Linked DNA regions of Oryctolagus cuniculus. The protein of the gene in region 1 purifies or fractionates together with the protein of each later gene. This does not show direct contact. Links are inferred from orthologs where the notes say so. Each region holds a gene or a part of one and is shown in the gene's direction. Other genes may lie near its edges.

Region 1 (3,517 bases):
ACCCATGTAATCCTCCATGAGGAGAAAACGATCATTAATAGGCAGAGTGTGTGTGTGTGTGTGTACACGTGTGTGTGTGTACATCCGTGTATTTTAAACCCAGGTTAGAAACAGAGCACAGAGAATTAGGTCATTGTCTGGTTTTAGGTGGGGATGGCTATCAGCACATTTAGTCCTTAGAGCAGCTCTGCTCACCTTGCGGTTCAAACCATGCCCAGCAGCTGCACACGGGAGCTTGTTAGAAATGCAAGCTTGGCCGGCGCCGCGGCTCACTAGGCTAATCCTCCGCCTAGCGGTGCCGGCACACTGGTTTCTAGTCCCGGTCGGGGTGCCGGATTCTGTCCCGGTTGCCCCTCTTCCAGGCCAGCTCTCTGCTGTGGCCAGGGAGTGAAGTGGAGGATGGCCCAAGTACTTGGGCACTGCACCCCATGGGAGACCAGGAGAGGCACCTGGCTCCTGCCTTCGGATCAGCGCGGTGCGCCAGCCGCAGCGCACCAGCTGCGGTGGCCATTGGAGGGTGAACCAACGGCAAAGGAAGACCTCTCTCTCTCTCTCACTCTCACTCTCACTGTCCACTCTGCCTGTCAAAAAAAAAAAAAAAAGAAGAAGAAGAAGAAGAAGCAGCAATGCAAGCTCTCGGGGCCAGCGTTGTGGCATAAGCAGGTTAAGCCGCTGCCTGCGATGCCGGCATCCCAGCTGCTCCACTTCCAATCCAGTTTCCTGGAAAAGCAGCAGAAGATGCCCTGAGGACGTGGGCCTCGCACCCACATGGGAGACCTGGAAGAAGCTCCTGGTGCCTGGCTTCGGCCTGGCTTGGCCCCAGCTATTGCAACCATTTGGGGAGTGAATCAGCTGATGGGAGATCTTTATCTCTCTCTAACTCTGCCTTGTCTCAGGTCTCCGCCCCAGGGACTGAAGCTAAATCCGCACTTCAGCCGGATCGTCCCAGTTATTTGTGTATTCATTACAGCCTGAGGAGCCTGCTGGCCACCCCACTGGACCTCCCTGTAGGCCATGGAGGACCTGGGGCTGCCCATGGCGGAACAGGGTGGAAAGGACTCTCCCTATAGTGAGCTGTGACCATCAAACTTCATGCCTAAAACTTACATCTCTCTCCCTGTACCCGCGTGGGAGACCAGGAGGAAGCACCTGGCTCCTGGCTTCGGATCTGCGCGGCGCTGTCCATAGCGGCCATTTGGGGAGTAAACCAACAGAAGGAAGACCTTTCTCTCTGTCTCTCTCGCTCACCATCTATAACTCTACCTGTCAAATAAAAACAACAGAAACAAACCTTACATCTCTCCTCCAGGAGCTGGTCGCTGTCGGCTGAGCAAGGTTGGGGCTGGCCGCCGCCCACCTCCAGCCCGCGTAAGGGTGGCTGTGCGCCTGCGTCCCTTCGTGGATGGAGCAGCGGCAGCGAGTGAGCCCCCTTGCGTCCGGGGCATCGACAGCTGCTCCCTCGAGGTTGCCAACTGGAGGAACTACCAGGAGACTCTGAAATACCAGTAAGGTTCCGGCCGTTCCGCTTCCCTCTCGTGGGCCGGCTCGCATGCCCACCTGCCCAGACGGTTTCTCAGACCTGCCTCCTCACCCCAGCTGTGGGCCGCGCACCGCGTTTGTTCACTCGCAGGTGTTCCCGGGCCTGCTGCCGTGGGTCCTGTGTGGGCCGCGTCAGACGCTGGGGGGGAGATGGCAGCATGGGAGGGGCGGGGAGCCGCAAGTGGGACAGCGACAGGTGGGAAGGGGGTAGAAGCCCAGGGCAGGTAGACTGCCCAGGCTGCTGCTGGGTGGGGTCAGAGACCCCGGGGTCCGCGGACAGAACTCACAAGGGCAGCTACTTTAAAGTCCTGTGAGGGATTTAAAGATCAAACTCCTCGGCCTGTTATCCTAGGCTGGGGGTTGGGGAACCACAGCCTGCGGGTCAAATCTGAGCAGCAGTCTCTCTAAATAGTTTGATGACTTATTTACGCAGCGTCCGTGGCTGCTTTCCAGGCGCAGTGGCAAGGCTGAGGAGTTGTGAAGGGAACCACGTGGCCTGCGGAGCCCAGGATATTTCCTTTTTTTTTTTTTTAACTTTTATTTAATGAATATAAATTTCCAAAGTACAGAATATGGATTACAATGCCCCCCCCCCCCATAACTTCCCTCCCACCCGCAACCCTCCCCTCTCCCACTCCCTCAGGATATTTCCTGTTTGGCTCTTTCCAGAAAAAGTTTGCCAGCTTTGTTCTAGGCCTTTGACAGTTGGCCTTCAGTTTCTTCCCAGCCTCATCTCCCCCACCACATGCTAAACCCCTGAGCCACAGCTTCTCCACAGAGTGCCGTGGGTGGGCTAGAGGTGTTCCCCCAGGCTGTGCAGATCCCGCCTTCTGTAGATGCCGCGGTGGGAAGAAAGATCGGCCAGCCCTGGCCTTTCACAGCACATCTTGTCTCTGTGCTGCTCTTACTACTTAGAATTTCTTTCTCTTGTCTCTGGTGGCGAAGTCCTCCTTCTGCAAGCAGAATGGGTTACTCCTCCCAGTGCGCTCTCAGCTTTGTTTCCTGAGGCCCAGCAAAGTCTAGGTTATCTACCGTCCCCACAGACTACAAAACCCCCAAGAGCAGGGCCATCCGATGCAGCTCTGTATCCCTAACACCAGAACGGGGCCTGGGCCGGAGCAGGTGTTCCGGGGCTGCTCGTTCGGGTCACTGTGCAACACAAGCGATGGAGGCCCTCCGTTAGACCTGGGGCCAGTGTCCCCCAGGTCAGGGTGGGCCCGGAACCCCTGCTGATTGCTTCCTCTCTGCCTCCAGGTTTGATGCTTTCTATGGGGACCGGAGCTCTCAGCAGGACGTCTATGCAGGCTCTGTGCAGCCCATCCTGAGGCACCTGCTGGAAGGGCAGAATGCCAGCGTGCTCGCCTATGGGCCCACTGGGGCAGGTGAGGGGCCAGACACGGCCGCTACAGGTCAGCAAGGGGCGGGGAGATGCAGAGCCGGCCCTCACAGCTTTCTCCACTCTTCCCCAGGAAAGACGCACACAATGCTGGGCAGCCCGGAGCAGCCTGGAGTGATCCCCCGAGCTCTCATGGACCTCCTGCAGCTCACGAGGGAGGAGGGAGCCGAGGGCCGGCCATGGGCCCTCTCTGTCACCATGTCCTACTTAGAGATATACCAGGAAAAGGTGAGGCCCCCTTCTGGCTGGGGAGGGAGAGACAGAAGGGTCAAGACGACTCAGTTCTAGAACATCAAGCTGCACTCCAGCAAGTTGGTAACATTAGGTAGCCGATGGGACAGCCCTGCGTCCCAGGCAGAGCGCGGCCTGTGTGTGGAGAGCCGGGCCCCCAACCCGCAGTGCTTCGACAGGTATTGGACCTCTTGGACCCTGCATCCGGGGACTTGGTGATCCGAGAAGACTGCCGGGGAAATATCCTGATTCCGGGCCTCACGCAGAAGCCCATCACTAGCTTTGCTGACTTTGAGCAGCACTTCCTGCCAGCCAGTCGAAATCGGACGGTAGGAGCCACCCGGCTGAACC
Region 2 (3,517 bases), on another chromosome or scaffold:
GGGAGCAATTGTTTTATCTCTAAATATTTTAGTGCAGGAAAAAAATGTTTTCACAGGATAGTAACTTCAGCATGCCTTCATATTAGAAATTACAGTGACAATTCAGAAATTGATCTGACAGTTCTCTGTGGCATTAGTTCTCAAACTTTAGCATACTGTCAGAATCATATAGAGACTTTATTAAAACACGGACTCCTGTACCCACAGAGATTTTGCTCTGAGCACAAGCCCAAAAACCACATTGGGAATGAATCATTGTTCTAGGACTATTATAGGACTATCTTTTCTTCTGACATAGTTTTCTAAGTGTACAGAATAATTTGTCATTCACTGTTTTGGTCCACTGATACTGAGTCATACATGGAAATTCAACACATATTTTCTCTGTAAGAGTATTTCTATACTTTTTTTAAAGATTTTATTTATCTATTTTGCGAAGTAGAGTTACAGACAGAAAGAAGGAGAGACAGAAAGATCTTCTATCTGCTGGTTCACTCCCTAAATGGCCGCAGTGGCCAGAGCTGAGCCGATCCTGAAGCCAGGAGCTTCTTCTGGGTTTCCCATGCAGGAGCATGGGCCCAGGCACTTGGGCATCTTCTGCTGCCTTCCCAGGCCATAAGCAGAGAGCTGGATTAGAAAAGGAAAAGCTGGGACTTGAACTGGTACCTATATGGGATGCCAGCGCTGCAAGCAGAAGCTTAACCTATTACACCATAGTACTGGCCCCTATACTTTTTTAATTATATGAAATAACATTGAAAGAGAAGATAAAAGCAGCAGTTATCCACCCACAAAGTATTTTTGAAAACCGTAAGCCCTCCAAAATTTAGCTGGTATGAAGACATTTGATAAGAGAGCAGTTTATAAAGTCCCACATGTGAATAATATTTAAAAGAGTACTGTAACATCTTATGTTGCTTCTTTTGGTCCAAAGATCTATGGCTCCTAAGGCCTAGAGTATGAACTTGGTTATCACTGACTAGAAACTAAGTAATACATCTGGTTAAAATCCAGAACGCAGGAGTGGATGTTGCAGTGCAGCAGGTTAAGCTGCCACTTTGGAAACCTGCATCCTGTATCAGAGTGTCTGGGATCAAGTCCCGCTCCACATACAATGCATGCAGCTTCCTGCACGTGTGCATTCTGAGAGGCAGCAGGTGATGTCTCAAGTACTTGGGTCCCTGATACCCACTTGGGAGTCCCAGTTGGAATTCCAGGTTCCTGGCTTCAGCCTGGCCCAGCCAGCCATTAAGGCCATTTTGGGAGTGAACCAGTAGATGGAAGATCTCTCTTCCTTCTTACCCCCTCTGTAATTCTTCATATCAAATAAATAAATATTTATAAGAAATTTTTAAAGTATGGGAAGCCACATATTGGACCCAGTACTTTATGTTTTCTGAAAAACTTATTGTCACTATATTTTATTGAATTTATAAATTATTTCTACAGGTGATGGGCCCCGGTGTAGAGATTATGTCATAAGTCTTGGAGTTGTGAAACCTTTACTTTCGTTCATAAGTCCATCTATTCCTATAACATTCTTAAGAAATGTTACTTGGGTTATGGTCAACTTATGTCGCCACAAAGACCCACCACCACCAATGGAAACCATTCAAGAGGTAAAAATTTTTATTTTTAATTTTAGTTTTTTAAGTTGATGGGGTGGATGTTTGGCACAGTGGTTAAGACACGACTTGGGACATCTGCTTTCCATATCATAGTGCCTGGGTTTGAGTCCCAGTCCATTTCCAATTCCATCTGCCTTCTAATTTGCACCCTGGGAAAGCAGCAGATGGTGGCTCAAGTCCTTGGGTCTCTGATACCCACCCAGAGATCCAGATTAAGTTACAGGCTCCTGGCTTAGTCCTGGCCCAGCCCCAGCTGTTGCAGGCATTTAGAGAGTAAATCAATGTATGGAAGATCTCTCTCTATATATATATTTCAAATGAAATGAAAATAAGTAAATTTTTTAAAAGTAGGTATTAAAGAGGATACCATTATGTATGTTGTTATATATGTGTATTTTTCAATCTGTATAATTCTCTCTTTAGATTCTTCCAGCCCTTTGTGTTTTAATTCATCATACAGACGTAAATGTGAGTAAATGCTTTCTATCCTATGTTTATGTATATACATTTATGTCTTATTATGTGTGTGTGTATATATCTTATGTACATTTATGTTTAGGGCTGGAAATTGGGGAGAAAATGTTATTTGAAGACATGTCATTGTACTATCTGATTTTTGTACTTCAAGGGTTGAAATACAAATTTGGTATTTTTATATTTATGTTTACCTGTATCATAAAATATAATTTCAGTGAGGAAGTCAAGCCCAGTTATTATTTTAGTCTATGCAGTAATGTACATGTACATACATAAAGATGTATGTATGTACAAGTTGTCTTCAAAAACTTCAAGGAAGTTGTATATTATGAAGAAACTGGATGGATTTCAGGTTTTTTTTTTTTCTTCACTAAAATAAGCTTGTCTTTTAATTTGATGTCTCCACAGATTTTGAAGTGCTCTCATGTATATCAATGTTAGAAAAACTCATATAGAAAGTTTTTAAGTTTCTAGTCAGTAATCTCCCTTACTAAGATTATCTTTGTTCATGAATGTTTAATGGAAGCTTTTATTGATAACCTGGCCAATTATAATACAGATAACATGCACTTAGTGACATTTTTGTTTTTTGAAAAATGAGTAGAAATACTGTGCCTGTATGCATGAGTTTGTATTCCTATACATTTACCAAACCTATGAACATCAGTTGTTCTTCATATTTTTACTCCATTTCTCCCAGTTATAATGACTGGCGCCGGCACCTCGGGTTCTAGTCCCAGGTGAGGCGCCGGATTCTGTCCTAGTCGCTCCTCTTCCTGTCCAGCTCTCTGCTGTGGCCCAGGAGTGCAGTGGAGGATGGCCCAAGTGCTTGGGCCCTGCACCCGCATGGGAGACCAGGAGAAGCACCTGGCTCCTGACTTCGGATCAGCGCAGTGCTCTGGCCACAGCGGCCATTGAGGGGTGACCCAGTGGAAAAGGAAGACCTTTCTCTCTCTCTCTCTCTCTCTCTCTCTCACTGTCCATTCTGCATGTCAAAAAAAAAAAAATACTATTCTCAAACAAGGGAAGAAAACAGCACAAGCAAGATTTTAAACATAACAAATAAATGAGGTGGGAAACTGACCTGATTTTTTATAAAAGCCAGACTAGCCTTTGATTTGTTAGAAAAACTAGGGAATATAATAGGTAAGGGACTATCCATGTGTGAAATATAGATAGCAATAATCAGAAAGTAATGTGTTTCTTTAAAAAACGATTTGCTATGGTGATAGCAGTGTTTGATGAGCTATTTCATTTCTTTACAGTTTTAGGATTATACTTTTTTTTTGCCAGAATCCCCTAAAAGTATGTAGAACAAATTAAAATCAGAATTTTGCTACATCAAGTAGTGATATAATGTACAAAATTTATTAAACATGCTCTTTGCTCTAAAGATGTTTTTTAAGCGCCAG

What was found. Proteins that work in one complex are often made in the same cells at the same time.
Region 2: the proteins of KIF22 (region 1) and KPNA4 purify together in Homo sapiens (affinity purification with mass spectrometry; 3 studies listed by BioGRID and IntAct, counting the BioPlex papers as one, with this or other methods). This does not show direct contact. The link is inferred for Oryctolagus cuniculus from reciprocal best matches to the Homo sapiens genes KIF22 and KPNA4.

Annotation. Positions count from the first base shown.
Region 1 is NC_091450.1:7,227,357-7,230,873, forward strand, and holds part of KIF22 (kinesin-like protein KIF22), read left to right. Parts: intron 1-1,309; coding exon 1,310-1,505; intron 1,506-2,793; coding exon 2,794-2,921; intron 2,922-3,008; coding exon 3,009-3,163; intron 3,164-3,345; coding exon 3,346-3,517. UniProt on the Homo sapiens protein: Kinesin family member that is involved in spindle formation and the movements of chromosomes during mitosis and meiosis. Binds to microtubules and to DNA. Plays a role in congression of laterally attached chromosomes in NDC80-depleted cells.
Region 2 is NC_091435.1:120,222,281-120,225,797, forward strand, and holds part of KPNA4 (importin subunit alpha-3), read left to right. Parts: intron 1-1,449; coding exon 1,450-1,619; intron 1,620-2,051; coding exon 2,052-2,096; intron 2,097-3,517. UniProt on the Homo sapiens protein: Functions in nuclear protein import as an adapter protein for nuclear receptor KPNB1. Binds specifically and directly to substrates containing either a simple or bipartite NLS motif.